2 linked regions of the Schizosaccharomyces pombe genome follow. Changing the gene in region 1 together with any one later gene gives a genetic interaction. Each region holds a gene or a part of one and is shown on either strand. Other genes may lie near its edges.

What was found. A genetic interaction does not mean that the proteins touch.
Region 2: mutations in ini1 (region 1) and coq11 together harm fitness more than expected from each alone (negative genetic interaction), as found in Schizosaccharomyces pombe (one large-scale study listed by BioGRID).

What each region holds. Positions count from the first base shown.
Region 1 is NC_003424.3:2,491,259-2,499,037, reverse strand, and holds ini1 (RING finger-like protein Ini1), read left to right. Parts: upstream 1-3,706; 5' UTR 3,707-3,719; coding exon 3,720-3,729; intron 3,730-3,770; coding exon 3,771-3,824; exon of another isoform or gene 3,825-3,895; coding exon 3,896-4,142; exon of another isoform or gene 4,143-4,181; coding exon 4,182-4,224; 3' UTR 4,225-4,636; downstream 4,637-7,779. Other genes in the region: Npr2/3 complex subunit Npr2, read left to right, coding at 1,612-2,119, 2,163-2,299, 2,341-2,925; guanyl-nucleotide exchange factor Sec73, read right to left, coding at 4,927-7,779. UniProt on the Schizosaccharomyces pombe protein: Required for pre-mRNA splicing.
Region 2 is NC_003421.2:2,271,299-2,277,183, reverse strand, and holds coq11 (ubiquinone biosynthesis protein Coq11), read left to right. Parts: upstream 1-1,714; 5' UTR 1,715-1,985; coding exon 1,986-2,816; 3' UTR 2,817-3,017; downstream 3,018-5,885. Other genes in the region: pdi5 (protein disulfide isomerase), read left to right, coding at 3,340-5,025; SPOM_SPCC1840.07C (phosphoprotein phosphatase), read left to right, coding at 5,549-5,885. UniProt on the Schizosaccharomyces pombe protein: Acts in the coenzyme Q biosynthetic pathway.

The sequences.
Region 1 (7,779 bases):
CATTCAATTTGGCCGGGTGTGGTAGTGCCTTTAATGTATAGTGCACTCGGATAAACACGTAAATATCACAAGCTAATGTATAAGCGATGACAATTACATAACAGTTTTATGAATTGCGATTTTAACAGAATTATTCAAGTTTTGTTTAAATGATTATTAGATATTGCAATAAAATATCTCGAGTATACTTAGCTAGAGCTGGATGACTCGTCAGTCTTTATCTCACTGAGGTACGTTATAATGATCAACTTGAAAGTGAAGCGTATCAAATTAAAAACAAAAAAAAAGCCATTAACGGAGGCCCTTCAAACTTCAAGCAACTAATTTTGTTAAGTTGTCAAGTTTATGAAAACTCTAAGGATATATTGCTTATAAAAAATAGGAAGGAGAAAACCAGGCAGAACCTGTTTATTTACAAAACGATATAGTAAGAATGAACTAAAGCTCATTAAAAGAAACCAAATATCCTAAAAATTAAACGCATCCGCTCTTTTCGCACTTTAATCTATTCGTTTTAAGCTAAACAACTCGAACAATTATCGAGCTTTCATGCACTTATGCCTAATTGAAGTTTCAATGATTTGACGTATTTTTCGTTGCTTTCTAACAGCGAAAAAATTCACTGGCTCAATCACAATTTTCCACTGTATCTCCTTAATTTATCTTTTATACAGTCAATATGGCTTGGTGCCTCATTATTTTAATTTTCTGTGGAAACTAGCGATTTATATCTTCAAATGTTTGAAAAGATAGGAAATCAATTATAGTAACAAAACAATTCTCTCTCTCTAGATTTATATATGGACAAATAATTGACTCAGTGAATGGATAAAAGGTTTTACAATTATCTAGCGGTTTTGTGATCTTTTTATTTAGGTTTAAGTTAAGCGAAAGCTTACGTTAAGAATTAAGCAGAAGTTGTAATAATACTGCTTTACACAAATTTAGTTTTAGTATTTGAATTCTAGCGTAAAAATAACACAAATACTTTTATTAAAACTTCCTGTTCAGTAAAAATTTGATTTATCCGACTGAAGTCTATTAACTATCGTTTCAAAGATTAACTATTTTTATATGATTACTGTGTATACTGGATATTACTAGCGCAGTTATCAAGCAAAAAGATTAAGAAAATCAAGTTTTATACTTTTTTAAAATCTTTTAACCCTAGAGGCTGCTAGCATCTGTTATCCATACGAAATAATCCTTAATGTTAATACAGATATGATTTTTATCACCTTATTAACATTAATGATGTAGCGAAATGTGGCTGTAGTCAGGAAGCTTTGACGTTAAGAATCAAATTTGTATAATTTACTGACCCAATGTACACAAGTGTTATATGACTTTCCATCTTACCGTTACATCAATGCAGAAATCTGAATATTGTTTGTAAATAATAAATTCATTAGCACAACTACTTTTCTGGGTAGCGTACAAAGATTTATATGGTTTTTGAAGTTAGTCCCCAAATCGACACTTGCACATAAGCTTTTGCATCCACCAGTAGGGGCATAACGAAATATTAAAATAAATATCTTACAAGTTTTAGCTTCATAAATTAAAGGTTAGATAAAAAACTCGGAAATTTTTAAATTCTTTAGCTTTCCTATGGAGTATTCTGAAGAGGGATGGATGGATCAAGCTGACAGCTTTCCGCCTCGTTTATTGGCAATATTTTTTGCATTATTTGATCCCTTACAAGGCCCTATAGTAGCTTGTGAAGCTCCTGCTGGATCGGTAACAAATGTTGATGGTGGAAAGAACTGTCTTTTACCATTCGAAACTATTTCTGACTATGTGATTCCGAAACGCGAACTTTGCAACAAAACAATTACTGTTTGTACTAATCATTATCAAGTCATTGGACATCCAATATCAATTATAGGTAGCAATTATGAGAGAAATGCTTTGATTTTCAACATGTGTATGATTTTTCATGAAGAAGAAGATTCAGCATGTTATATACCACTAGTAAAGCGACTAGCGAGAAATTTAGAGGTCTTAGAAAAGCAAATTCATTATATATCTGATTTGAACAAAAGACCTGTAATTTTCAGCGTAATTGAGCAAATTTTGGAGGACATGAACAACTTTTGTGAGTGTATGATACAGCTAGGTATGCGCAATTATTTCATTCGGACTTTAACTAACTTTCTAAGACGACCAAAATTCTATTAATATCAAGCTTTTTCCCGTTTTTCCTTCTCCTCCTACTGTTAAAAGTTTTCATGTACCAATTTTAACGGCTCAGTTGGATTTACTCATGGACAAAAATTGGGATATGACTGTTCAAAAGGTACTCTCTTCCAAAAAAATTAAAATTGACTAATTTTTTAGGTTTATCCTTTTATTAATGGCATAAACTCAGTTCAAAGGATTGCTGAATTAGCTAATGTTAGCTATAGAAGTTGTCAAAAATGCATGGAACACTTTCTATATTACGGTTGTCTAATTATAGCTGATATTTTTCAATTCCATAATATTTATGCTATGACTACTAATGCTCCTAACCTTTTACAAGACCCAGATTTTCAAAGAGAATGTACGGCATATGTATCAACTAACAGCTCTAATGCGAAAAACGTTACTTTTGCTACTATTTTCAAACTGTATTGTAGTTTAAGGCAAGGACTTCGTGTTAAGGATTGGATGAACGAGAACAAAGAAATTTTCAAAGGTTTAGACGTTCGAAGGCTAATCTCGTTCGGTACTATAAAAGGGCTAATATATCGTGTGCATAAATACCCATACTTAGAACGAAGGACTATGAGGAATAACTTAACCGAAGAAGAGAAAAAACTGCTTGGTTTGCTGGATGGAAAGCACCATTTTGATGAATTGTGTGTCACATTGAAAAAGTCTCCAAAGGTTGTTAATGAAATGATTGCTGGATTGGGTGATGCCTGTTTTATTTATGTATGAATAAAAAAAATAGTCTTGCGATTAGTCTTGTTATTTTTTCGGATGATCGGAGCTATAGTCGTTTTAATTTATCTTCATTGCGAGTTCTGCTGTCAATTTCAAAATTGTCAAGTATAGGATTGGAATACATTAGCATCATATTTATGACTATGAATAAATTTGAAGATATTATCAAAACACTGCAATTTACAATGGTTGATTATCTGTAAATTGGCCTGTTAGGGAAAACGATTGTAATTGTGCCTTTTGTTTATACGCTGAAACTTAAGAATCTAAATTTTGGTTATCGCGTACCTAATTAGAAGTATTTAACACTTTATTTTCGTCATTTATTTGTTTTACTACAAAGAATTATTTATTCTACAAGATTACCATGAAAATTGAATTTCATCAATACATCAGTAAACATCGACTACTGTATGTCCATTGATCATAAATTCATAAATGTTAATAGTAGATTTTATTTCTATTTTACTTTATTGTTCAAAAATTCCGTAAATATGGCGCAACAAAAAAAGATCCTCAGCTTAATGGAGAGTATATTTGGTACATACTTGCAAGCATTATTAATACGTTGTTTATAATAGCACTTCAACTGCTAACGCGCATTTTCCGACTTGTTTATGCCATTGCATGGCTGTATTGCAGCTTAACGTATCCATAATAGCGAGTACGAAATTTGAAATCAGAAGAGGATGTTTATATTTTACTAAGCATAACGTAACGCGAAGGACCGTCGTAAATTTACTATATATATCTGCTGCATTGAAATTAATCCTCTGAGTATATTCACAATGTCAAAGCGTATGGAAATAAAAATGAAATTAAATACTAACGTTTATTAGATCATCCTGATTTAGTATTATGCAGAAGACAACCAGGAATTACTGTTGGAAAGTGTAAGTGTAAAGTGTTCTATAATTTGGCATAGTTAAATAATTGGCAGATTCTAATACTCATGAATATACAGTATGTGAACGATGTGACGAAAAATGCCCTATTTGTGATTCTCATGTAAGGCCGACAACGTTGGTGAGAATATGTGATGAATGCGCGTTTGGTAGCTCACAAGACCGATGCATTATTTGTGGAGCTCCAGGTGTTTCTGATTGTTATTATTGTTCGGAATGCACACGTATGGAATATGATCGTGATGGTTGCCCTCGTGTTATAAATCTTGGTTCCAGTCGGACGGATTGGTTTTATGAACGGAAAAAGTAAGTTAACAATTTGCATCGCATACTCACCATTTTTAGGTTTAAAAATGCTGGAAAAGAAATGCCGGGTGCAACGTATTAATAGTACATCTAATGGTAGACTTGTTTCCTAATTCCACTAATTTCCGGTTATGGTATTTATATTATGTTTGGTGCTTTTTCATTATTTTCAATTTATAACTTACTATGCTATTGATTGTTTGCAGCATTATTTAATTTTTGGGTATTAATATACGAAAACAAAAAAATTTTTATAACTCGTATTCGCTGAAAAGCAAAGAAAAATAGTTTATACTCTTTTTCGTCTTTCTACATGCGGTGCAGAATTATTTCGAAATGTAGTACGACATTTATCAATGAACTAAAAATTGTTATTAGAAGTTAATTAGACTCATGTTTATTCATTATCCACCTATTCCTTTAGTCTTCTGTTTTGTGGATCATCTCATAATCCAAGTAGCTCGACGGATAAAATATATAATTAACATAAACGCTTAAATTTTTCCACATATTTAAGAATTGCCATAATACATCAAAATCGCTACCAAATGTTACGCTCTTCAATTAATGTTCTTAAAGCATCGTAACTACAGCAATGTGTACTTTCGAACGGCTAAGAGAGATAAAATTTATTATTATGGATTTAGAGATAATTAATAAATAAAGCGGGAATCCTTGTCTATACGCGGATATGAATTCAAATAAGAAAAATCAAAAAAAAAAAGAGAAATCACTTTAGATGAACAAATATTTAGATAATAGTAGTTAACATTTGATATACATGCTAATTATCAGAAGTAGCAGAATGCCATTTCGATAGGCTATTCATACTAAACTCATCATGTTCCTTATATGGATCCGTGCGAAAATCTTCTGATGAGTACAGGTTCAAAGCAAACCCGCTATCTGTATCGTCCGAAAATGTTTGCCATTGATCTAAACATGTAGTCACGGAACCTAAGCTAGCTGTGTCAGCTAATTCATCATCAAAGGCTTCAATTTGAAGCCTCAATTGGCTGGGTTTACCGGGCGAGCTTTCGCTTGTATCTTCAAAACCAAAAATATCTTCGACAGGCTCATCTTTAACATTGTCCGAGTAAACCTTTGGTGAAAGTATTTCAGGAGTAAAAAATGTCGATGAGGGGTTTTCGGGGTTGCCTTTCAAGTTGAAATTATTATCAGGATCCAAAAGATGCGGTACATCTCTATCTGATGATTCTTTTTCAACATCATGTGTTTGACGATTGATTGAGTTGATGCTCGGATTTTTTAGGGTGCTTGGGCTTGTCGAAGAAGGTCTGTCGTCGATGTCATTAGAACTTTCAAGAGAAATGCATTTATCTAAATCAGATTCAAACCGCAATACTTGCAATTGTGACTCCATTTTTCTGATTTCCAAATATAATGATTGCGCTTTAGCATCGACCTTTTTAAGGGCTTGTAAAATAACTACTCTTGTTTTCGGCTGTAGGGGTGCACATGTCGATAAATTTTTGGCATTTCTTTGTAATACCATGAGTTTCTTATTGAACTCAGTAATAGATGTTTCAAGTTGGTCAATACGTGTCTTAATTGTCCGGGCACGTGCAATTTCCATATCCTGTTTCATTTGAGCTTCAATTGCTGCTAATTCTTCCTCCATATACTTTGGATAGCAAGAAAAGTCTCTTTTAGGATGGTAAGAATCACTTACAGGCATTCGCAGACCAGCTGTACGAAGTGTTGAGATGTAGTTAATTTTAGCTACCCATTCTATCATGCTTTCTTCTGTTGGAGCACAAAGAGTCTCTTCAGATCCATCCCGAAATATGACGGTAAAAGAACAATTGCGTACATTCTTCTTATCTCTGTCACAATAGGCAAACGCATTAACAAGCGAATAACTGGTATCGGGGGAAAACTCTTCTAGAGGTGGAGTAAATACAAGCGGAGGAATTTTTGGAAATTCATATTCCATAGCCTCTGTATCTATACCTTGCAACGTGTCAAAACTGCTCGAGGTAGTTGTAAAATTTTTGTAACGCCTTTCATAAGCTTTCTTTTGAGCCATGAGATCTTTAGCCCATACCAAATTACGAAAAAAAAGTATTCTAGAAGCGGTCAACAAAACCAAATGCTCTTTGTATGAATTGTGCCCCACACTTCTTCGCTTCTTTTCACACCGTGGTAAAATGCCCAGCATACTGATACTAAAATCAACTAGTCCCGGGTCAGCATTGTCTGGTAATCCAATAAAATGATTGGAGAATGCCATTGGATGAGATCTTTTAGAAACAAGCTGAATTATCGCAGGGCTGGAAATCAACTTTCTAACGTTCAGCAAAGACGCAATATCTTTGATACCTGGAGATATGAATTTTCCATCATAAGAGAGAGATATTTCAGGCCGTGAAATATTCAATTGATTTTCTAACGTAAATGTGTAAGGAGAAAGCCCTAACCTTTTACGAGATGTGAAATTGTACTTTTCGTTCTTTTCCTTCTCAATGAGAAGCAACTCATCATCCAGGTTGACAAAAGGAGTAAAGGTAATATTGTCATAATAATACTCCATTATCTCCGGAGCTAATTCATCTATGTCACAGAGATTTATGAATTCCTGCTTCGTCATTTTATGCTTATTATTTGAATTAAAAACGTCAGTGTGGAGCATCATCAAAGAAAACACCAGAATGTAACACTGATCTTGGGAACTGAACATCCCAGGGTTACATTCAAAATAGCGCTTAGAGAATGCATTGATGACACGATCAATCTGTTGAGTTTCCTTAGGAAGGTGAGATTTAAGTAAAAATAACCGCAAGCAAAAATCCAACGGCCGATTTTCAAACTCCATTCCCGACATACAAAGGTGCAGAGCTTTGTTCAATGTTACATGATCCTTTTCTGCTAGAACAGGGATCATACGACTATAAGGAACTGTCTCTCTAAGCTTTGAGAGATAACTCTCCGCAGTATCATCTGCTGTGAGCTCCGGAACAGAAGAAAGAAACTTGGTCGGATTAGGCTTAATATCAGAAAATAAAGCCGAATTTTCAATAGTCTGAGCTACGCATTCGTCATCATCCCGGCGCAAAGTTCGAAAACTAAAAATACTAGAACGGTTTTCTCTCAATCTTTCTAAAGTCCTTTGGGTAGGAATCGTAGAACTACGAGGCCGTGACCGAGAGCTTTGTGGCTGTGGTTGTTCAACATCATTAGGAATAGAAGGCGAACGATACAACCGGAGGGAACCCACAGAAGAAGAAGGTGATGGAACGTTAGAAGTCTGATCGCTTTTATCAACTGGCTTAATGTAATCAGAAGATATGGAAAACTGGATAGGAGGTCTTTTTACTACAGGTAAAGAAGCAATGCGTTTCCCCAGGTCGGACATTTTGACACTACTTTTCCGAGTACCATTCTGTAAAATCGTATTATCAGATTCCGCTGACAAATTCTCATTTTGCTGGTTTAGAGGGCCACCAGCTTTATCGAGAGAACCAACTTCAGAAGGAGAACTAGTAGTTGAGTTAACATCGGGATTCCAGGACTTCCTAGACCACTTCGGAAATCGAAAAAATGATCGAGAAGCACGAAGTTTCGCCGAGTTGATACTAGATGGTGATTTCAAAGAAGGATTGGAACCGCTTAGGTC
Region 2 (5,885 bases), on another chromosome or scaffold:
GACGGTCTTCGCTCTTTATTCAGCAAAGAACGTATGGAATAGAAAGAATTTGTACTAAATGTGTCACCATAAGTGCGAAGCTTTAGGGTTTTTACATTATAAGACAAGTTAGATTTTTGTTTTAAAGGTGGCATTTAGAATATAGACAGATGAAGTTAAAGGGCGCAGCTCGTTTTCCTTGGCACTTTTTTACACTCATCTCAGTACTTGTATTATCTTCTCAAAGCAGCTTGGTAGTACAATTTTCTTGGATATTATCCCTATCTGATAAAATAAAGTTTCGCTAATAATTAAGCGAAGACTTACAACTTTGACGAAGCAGCACACAGAACTAAACCAGTAGATCATAGTGACTATAAAAGCAAATCTACTTAAAGAGGCTGAGAAATTGCCATCGTGAGTTTATTTATTTTCAGCTATATTCTTCAATGTAAATTTAAGTATTTATTGAGAAAAATTTAAGAAAGTTAAGTTGTTCGTTATAACGTACAGCAGCTACGAAAGGATATTTATACTACTGTCTCGCAAATAAACATTCTAGCAACTCATTAACATCATAACTTGTGTTGGAATAGTAGACAACTATGATGAATAAAATAAAATAAAAAGGGCAAGTTAGAAATCAGAAATTTATGCTTAATGTTTCATTTGGATTTTCGTTATTTCCAATGTATTCTGAATATACTCATACTTAAACACATATTGTTATATGTTATATTTGTTACATCAGGGGGATCGATATATCATATACTCCACAGTATAGCTAATTTATTTGTAACCCTTTTTGAAGAAATATTTATTTGGTATTGAGAATTAAATTAAATTTAAAGATTTACTATATCATAGCCTATTTACTCAATCTGTTCAAATGTTGCTTTCGCAAACATATTTTTATCAGTCACAATATAATGAAATACACATTTGATTTAAAACAATTTCAAAAAAAAAAAAAGGATGTTGATTAGAATGAAAGAAAAAAAATAAGATTTATATATTTTCAAAACAAAAAAGGTGTAGATATCAATAATAAGAAGACTTAAAATTCTAATAGATCTCGTAACGATCAGTTATTTTAAATTTATAAAATTAAACCACAGTGTATTGTTTTAGAATATATGAATTTAATACTTTCGCTCAACGATTTCTTGATCGATCAACTAAATATGTAATAATATTAATTAAAAAAAAATAAAAAAAATTTGAGATTTTTTCTTTCCTCTTGCTATGAATCACGAAATTTTCTGTATGAACAGAATAGCAATCAACTGGCTTCTCAGACACTTCATAAAACTCGAAATTGTGTCTTCAGGGTTATCGGAATAAATATTATGATTCATAAGCTCTATTGTTAGCTTAAAATTGAATTTGTTATTAATCTAACATATTTGTAAATGGGTTTATGAAGTATTTGAATTTGAGATCTTATTATTACGAATTTAAAATCCAAAGATAATTAAGAAATTAATCAATGGCTTATAAAGTATAGAAAATTAAAGACTAAATTATCAAAGCATTTTTATTTTTAATTTTTTTTAGCGCTCTCATTTAAGACAAACTTTTACTAATACTCCAATTATGAATGATGGTTATTTTGCATACTTATTAAATGATGTACATATTTTTATAAATTAATAAGTCTAATAGAAGATAATTAATTACCTCTTTCCATCTCTTGGTCTTCCTTATTGAGCTAGCACATTACCTCATTCTCTTCAACTACGATTTACTAACTACTCAGGTTGAAAGGGTTTTTTGAACATTGTTCGTAAAAGGAAATTTTAAAAATATTTTGAGACAGCATTTTTGTGTTTCTCAATTATTAAGATTAATAATAAGCATCACGAAACTTTGAGGTGTTAGCTTACATTAACAATTCTGGGGTTCTAATCCTTATAATAATTTGGGCTGGCCTATATCAAATTGTCTAATTTGAAGATTTAAATTCTTTAAATAATTTTATTTTTACTTTCTCCCTCGTTTTAAGTATGAAAATTGTTGTTTTAGGTGGTTCAGGCTTTTTAGGGCATAATATTTGCAAATTAGCCATTGCTAAGGGTTACGAGGTGGTTTCAGTATCCCGAAGAGGAGCTGGAGGATTGCATAACAAAGAACCATGGATGGATGATGTTGAATGGGAGACGTTGGATGCTCAAAAAGATCCAAATTCATTACTTCCTGTTCTTCGTGATGCCTCGGCAGTGGTGAACAGTGTTGGTATCCTTATGGAAAATAACTATAAAAAGATTTTACAGAATCCCAGAGGACCAGTTTCGCATTTAATCAATAGTCTTAGCTCTAACATGTTTAAAACTGGCCAAAACCCTTTAGCACCTAAACCTGAAGAAGCAAAGCAATCTAAAAATAAAGTTACATTTGAAGCAATCAATCGAGATTTAGCTATTGAAACAGCTAAGATTGCCGCCAAAGCTAATGTCCCTGTGTATTGCTATGTGTCTGCTCATGCAGCGGCTCCCGGGTTGGATCCCCGCTACATAAAAACGAAACGTGAAGCTGAAAGGGAAATATCTAAAATTTCAAACCTTCGTTCTATATTTCTCCGTCCTGGTTTTATGTATAACTTTAATGATCGTCCTTTCACAGGCGCCCTTGCGTCTCTTTTTACTGTCTCATCCAGCATCAATCGAGCAACCTCTGGTGCTTTAAATTTCCTCGGAACCGCTTCGGCTGAACCCCTTCCTTCTGAGGAAGTTGCTTTGGCTGCTTTGGAGGCTATTTCTGATCCCAGTGTCAAGGGTCCTGTGGAAATTTCCGAATTAAAATCTATGGCTCATAAGTTTAAGCAAAAATCTCTATGATTCTCTTGTTAAAAGTAAATTACACATCATAAGTTTATGAAAATGAATGATTGGGTTATGTGTAATGAATTTTGACCAGTCTTAATTATATCTACCTGAATACGTCTTTATACTTTCAAGTTAAAATATGATTGCTAAACAAAGAGAAAAAGTATCGTCTAATTTAAATTCTCTGCTCAATATTTACATCATTTGAACTACTGTTATCTAAGTCGTAGAATCTTTTCCAACTATAATTGCCAAATTTGCTTCCTGACTGTATTTATTAACTAGAAAATTAAAACAAGTTATTTCAAAAAATTAGAAAGAAAGCTCTTTTCCCATGTTAACTCGAGCTATATTTGCTTCGATATATCAGCTGTTGTAGTAACCATACATTTTACCTTATTATACACCTCGCACTACCTATATCAAACGCACGCATTCGAAAGGTCCTCGGTGAATTAAAGAATTAAGAAGATAGAGAAGTTCATAATCCTTTTAATTTACTTATTCAAATTGGACTTACAGTCGTAAATTATTTATGGAGCTGGGTGCTTGGAGATCTATTCTCTATATTGCGTTCCTGTTCGCGATTACGCGCCATGCCTTTTGTAAAGCAGTTAACTTGGTGCATTCACCAGAAGGAGAAGAGTTCGAAAATATTTTGAGCTCTGTTTCTGCTACAGTTGAGAAGAAAGAAGTCAACAATAAATTAATAATGCCGACAGCTAATCGCGACAACCAAGGAGTAAGAGAAGAACTTTTAGTTTCTAGTTTTAAAGAAAGAAAGCTGTTGAACACCAATTCAGCCAATTTGCGGCTAAATAGTATTGGCTCATACGAAATGATCGACTTCAAACAGATTAATTCCGAATTTTTCTTGTCTCATCGTCAACATGGGTTTGTATTATTTATCGATTCTAAAAAAAAACCACGACAATCATTTTACACCGACTCGGCTACTTCTATTGTGCAATTGTCCAAAAAATATAGGAACAAAATAAAATTCAAGAGCGTGGATTGTGCCTCATCTTTAGAAAAATGCGAAGAAATTGGGATCAATTCTTTTCCTTCTCTTGTTTATTATAACAATGCCGGGCAAAAAAAAGTTTTTACGGCTCATACTCCTTACGAAGTGTTATCAAAGCACGCTGATCTAATAACTGAGCTAGACGAAACAGACGGAAAGGTTTATCCGCAAAGCATAATTCGTTTAGAAGAGTTCAAAAATCTAAAAGCTAATGAGCCTGTTTTTTTCTTATACTTGCACGATTATGGATCTACTCCTGAAGATTTCGACTCCTTACGCATTTTTGCTAGATATTTGGTAGGATTTGCTCCTCTCTATCGCACGGATGACGAAAAAGTAATTAAGACATTAAATGTCACACGTCTTCCACACTTAGTCGCCATACGCCATGGCGTTGCTTTCTCCTACTCTGAACGCTCTGTTTCAGCGATGCGAAACACTTTTCAACTCATCAAATGGGCATCTTTGCTAAAATATCCTCTCGTTCCCGAATTAACCCCAGCTGTTGTTGAAAACTTGGACTCTGATTCATATTTAGCTATTGCTCTAATCAATCCCACGAGCCAAGTCAAGGCATCTAAGGCTATTTCTACAGTTCAGGAGATTGGCCTCAAGTGGACATTGAAGCTTCGCGAAGTGGAAAGGAAGCAATTACTTACTGCTCGTGAAAAATGGTGGGATCATCTACGGATGTTAAAACAAAAAGGTTACGACGACGTAGCTTTTTTAGCCGCCGAATATTCATTACCCCTTCCTAAGAATAAGAAGGTTACATTTGTATGGGTTAATTCCTTACAGTGGAAAACCTGGATTTCTCATACGTTTCATATAGACCCAATGGGTCCTTCTCGATTCGTCTTGATGGATCCCTCTCGCATGTTTTATTGGGATTCCTCGGCTAAAGGGTTACCTCTCACACTCGATGATTCATCCCTAATTCTCGACACCACTTTTCGGGTATTAGCAATAACAGGAGAGGGCCTACCTCACGAATTTTCTATACCTAGAGGATATGTATACCTAAGTGAAATTAAACAGTACTCATCTTTAATTTTAATTTCGTTGTGGATTAGTCTAATTTTGTTTGTGTCTTTCTTAAACCGGCGGCTTATTCTTCATTATTCTTTCGAATCTGTTCATCAGTTAAAAACGTTAACGAGAAAATTCATTTATAGCTCTTTGTTAAAGCAAGATTAAAGGTATTGATTCTTTGTTATAGGATTTACTAGTTCATTACTATTCCTACAAGCTTCTCTAAACGTCAAATTTTAACAACTATCTATTTTATTTAGAGATGCATTTTTGATCTCTTATTATTCCTTTCTTTGTTATTGCGAATTTCTTAATTAATAATCATTAATACTTGCTGGAAATTCACAAAATCTTCTTTTTAAATTTTCATGTGCTCATGTTGCTTAGAATTCTTTCAAATGTCCTTTGCGTTGTCTGTGACTCTTTATTTTTCAAGCTCAAACATGTTAATTAGAAACTATTGCTTCTAATTTGCCTGTTAAAAAAATTTGTCAGCCTTTCCCTATGGCACTAAATAGTTAGAAACTACTACTTTTCTGTATATATACTAAAATGAGATATATATTTAAACATATTAAGAGATTTCTTGCTATAAATGTCGAAAATATATTAATCTTGACAGATCTTGGATTTTTAGATTAACCTTTTACATGTAAAAGTAAGGTAAAGTAACTCATCCTTAGCATTCATGAGTTCTCTTGGAAAACTTCTGAAACTTACCCTTTTGGGGATATTACTCTCTTTTTCTTGTAAATTCGTATTCGGTTATTTTAATGTAAATCAATTATTTGATCATGAATTCATTAAAGTTTTTCCCAATTTCAAAGGAAACGTTGAAGCAAAAATTAAATATCCGACCGTAGTATATGCTATTGGGGATATTCATGGAGACTTTCCAAATGCTTTAGATGTACTATCTGCAGCAGGCGTTGTATCTCCTGTTTTTCCTCATGAATGGACTGCTGGTAATGCTACACTGGTTCAAACCGGAGATGTCGTCGATCGCGGCCCAGATACACGGAAAC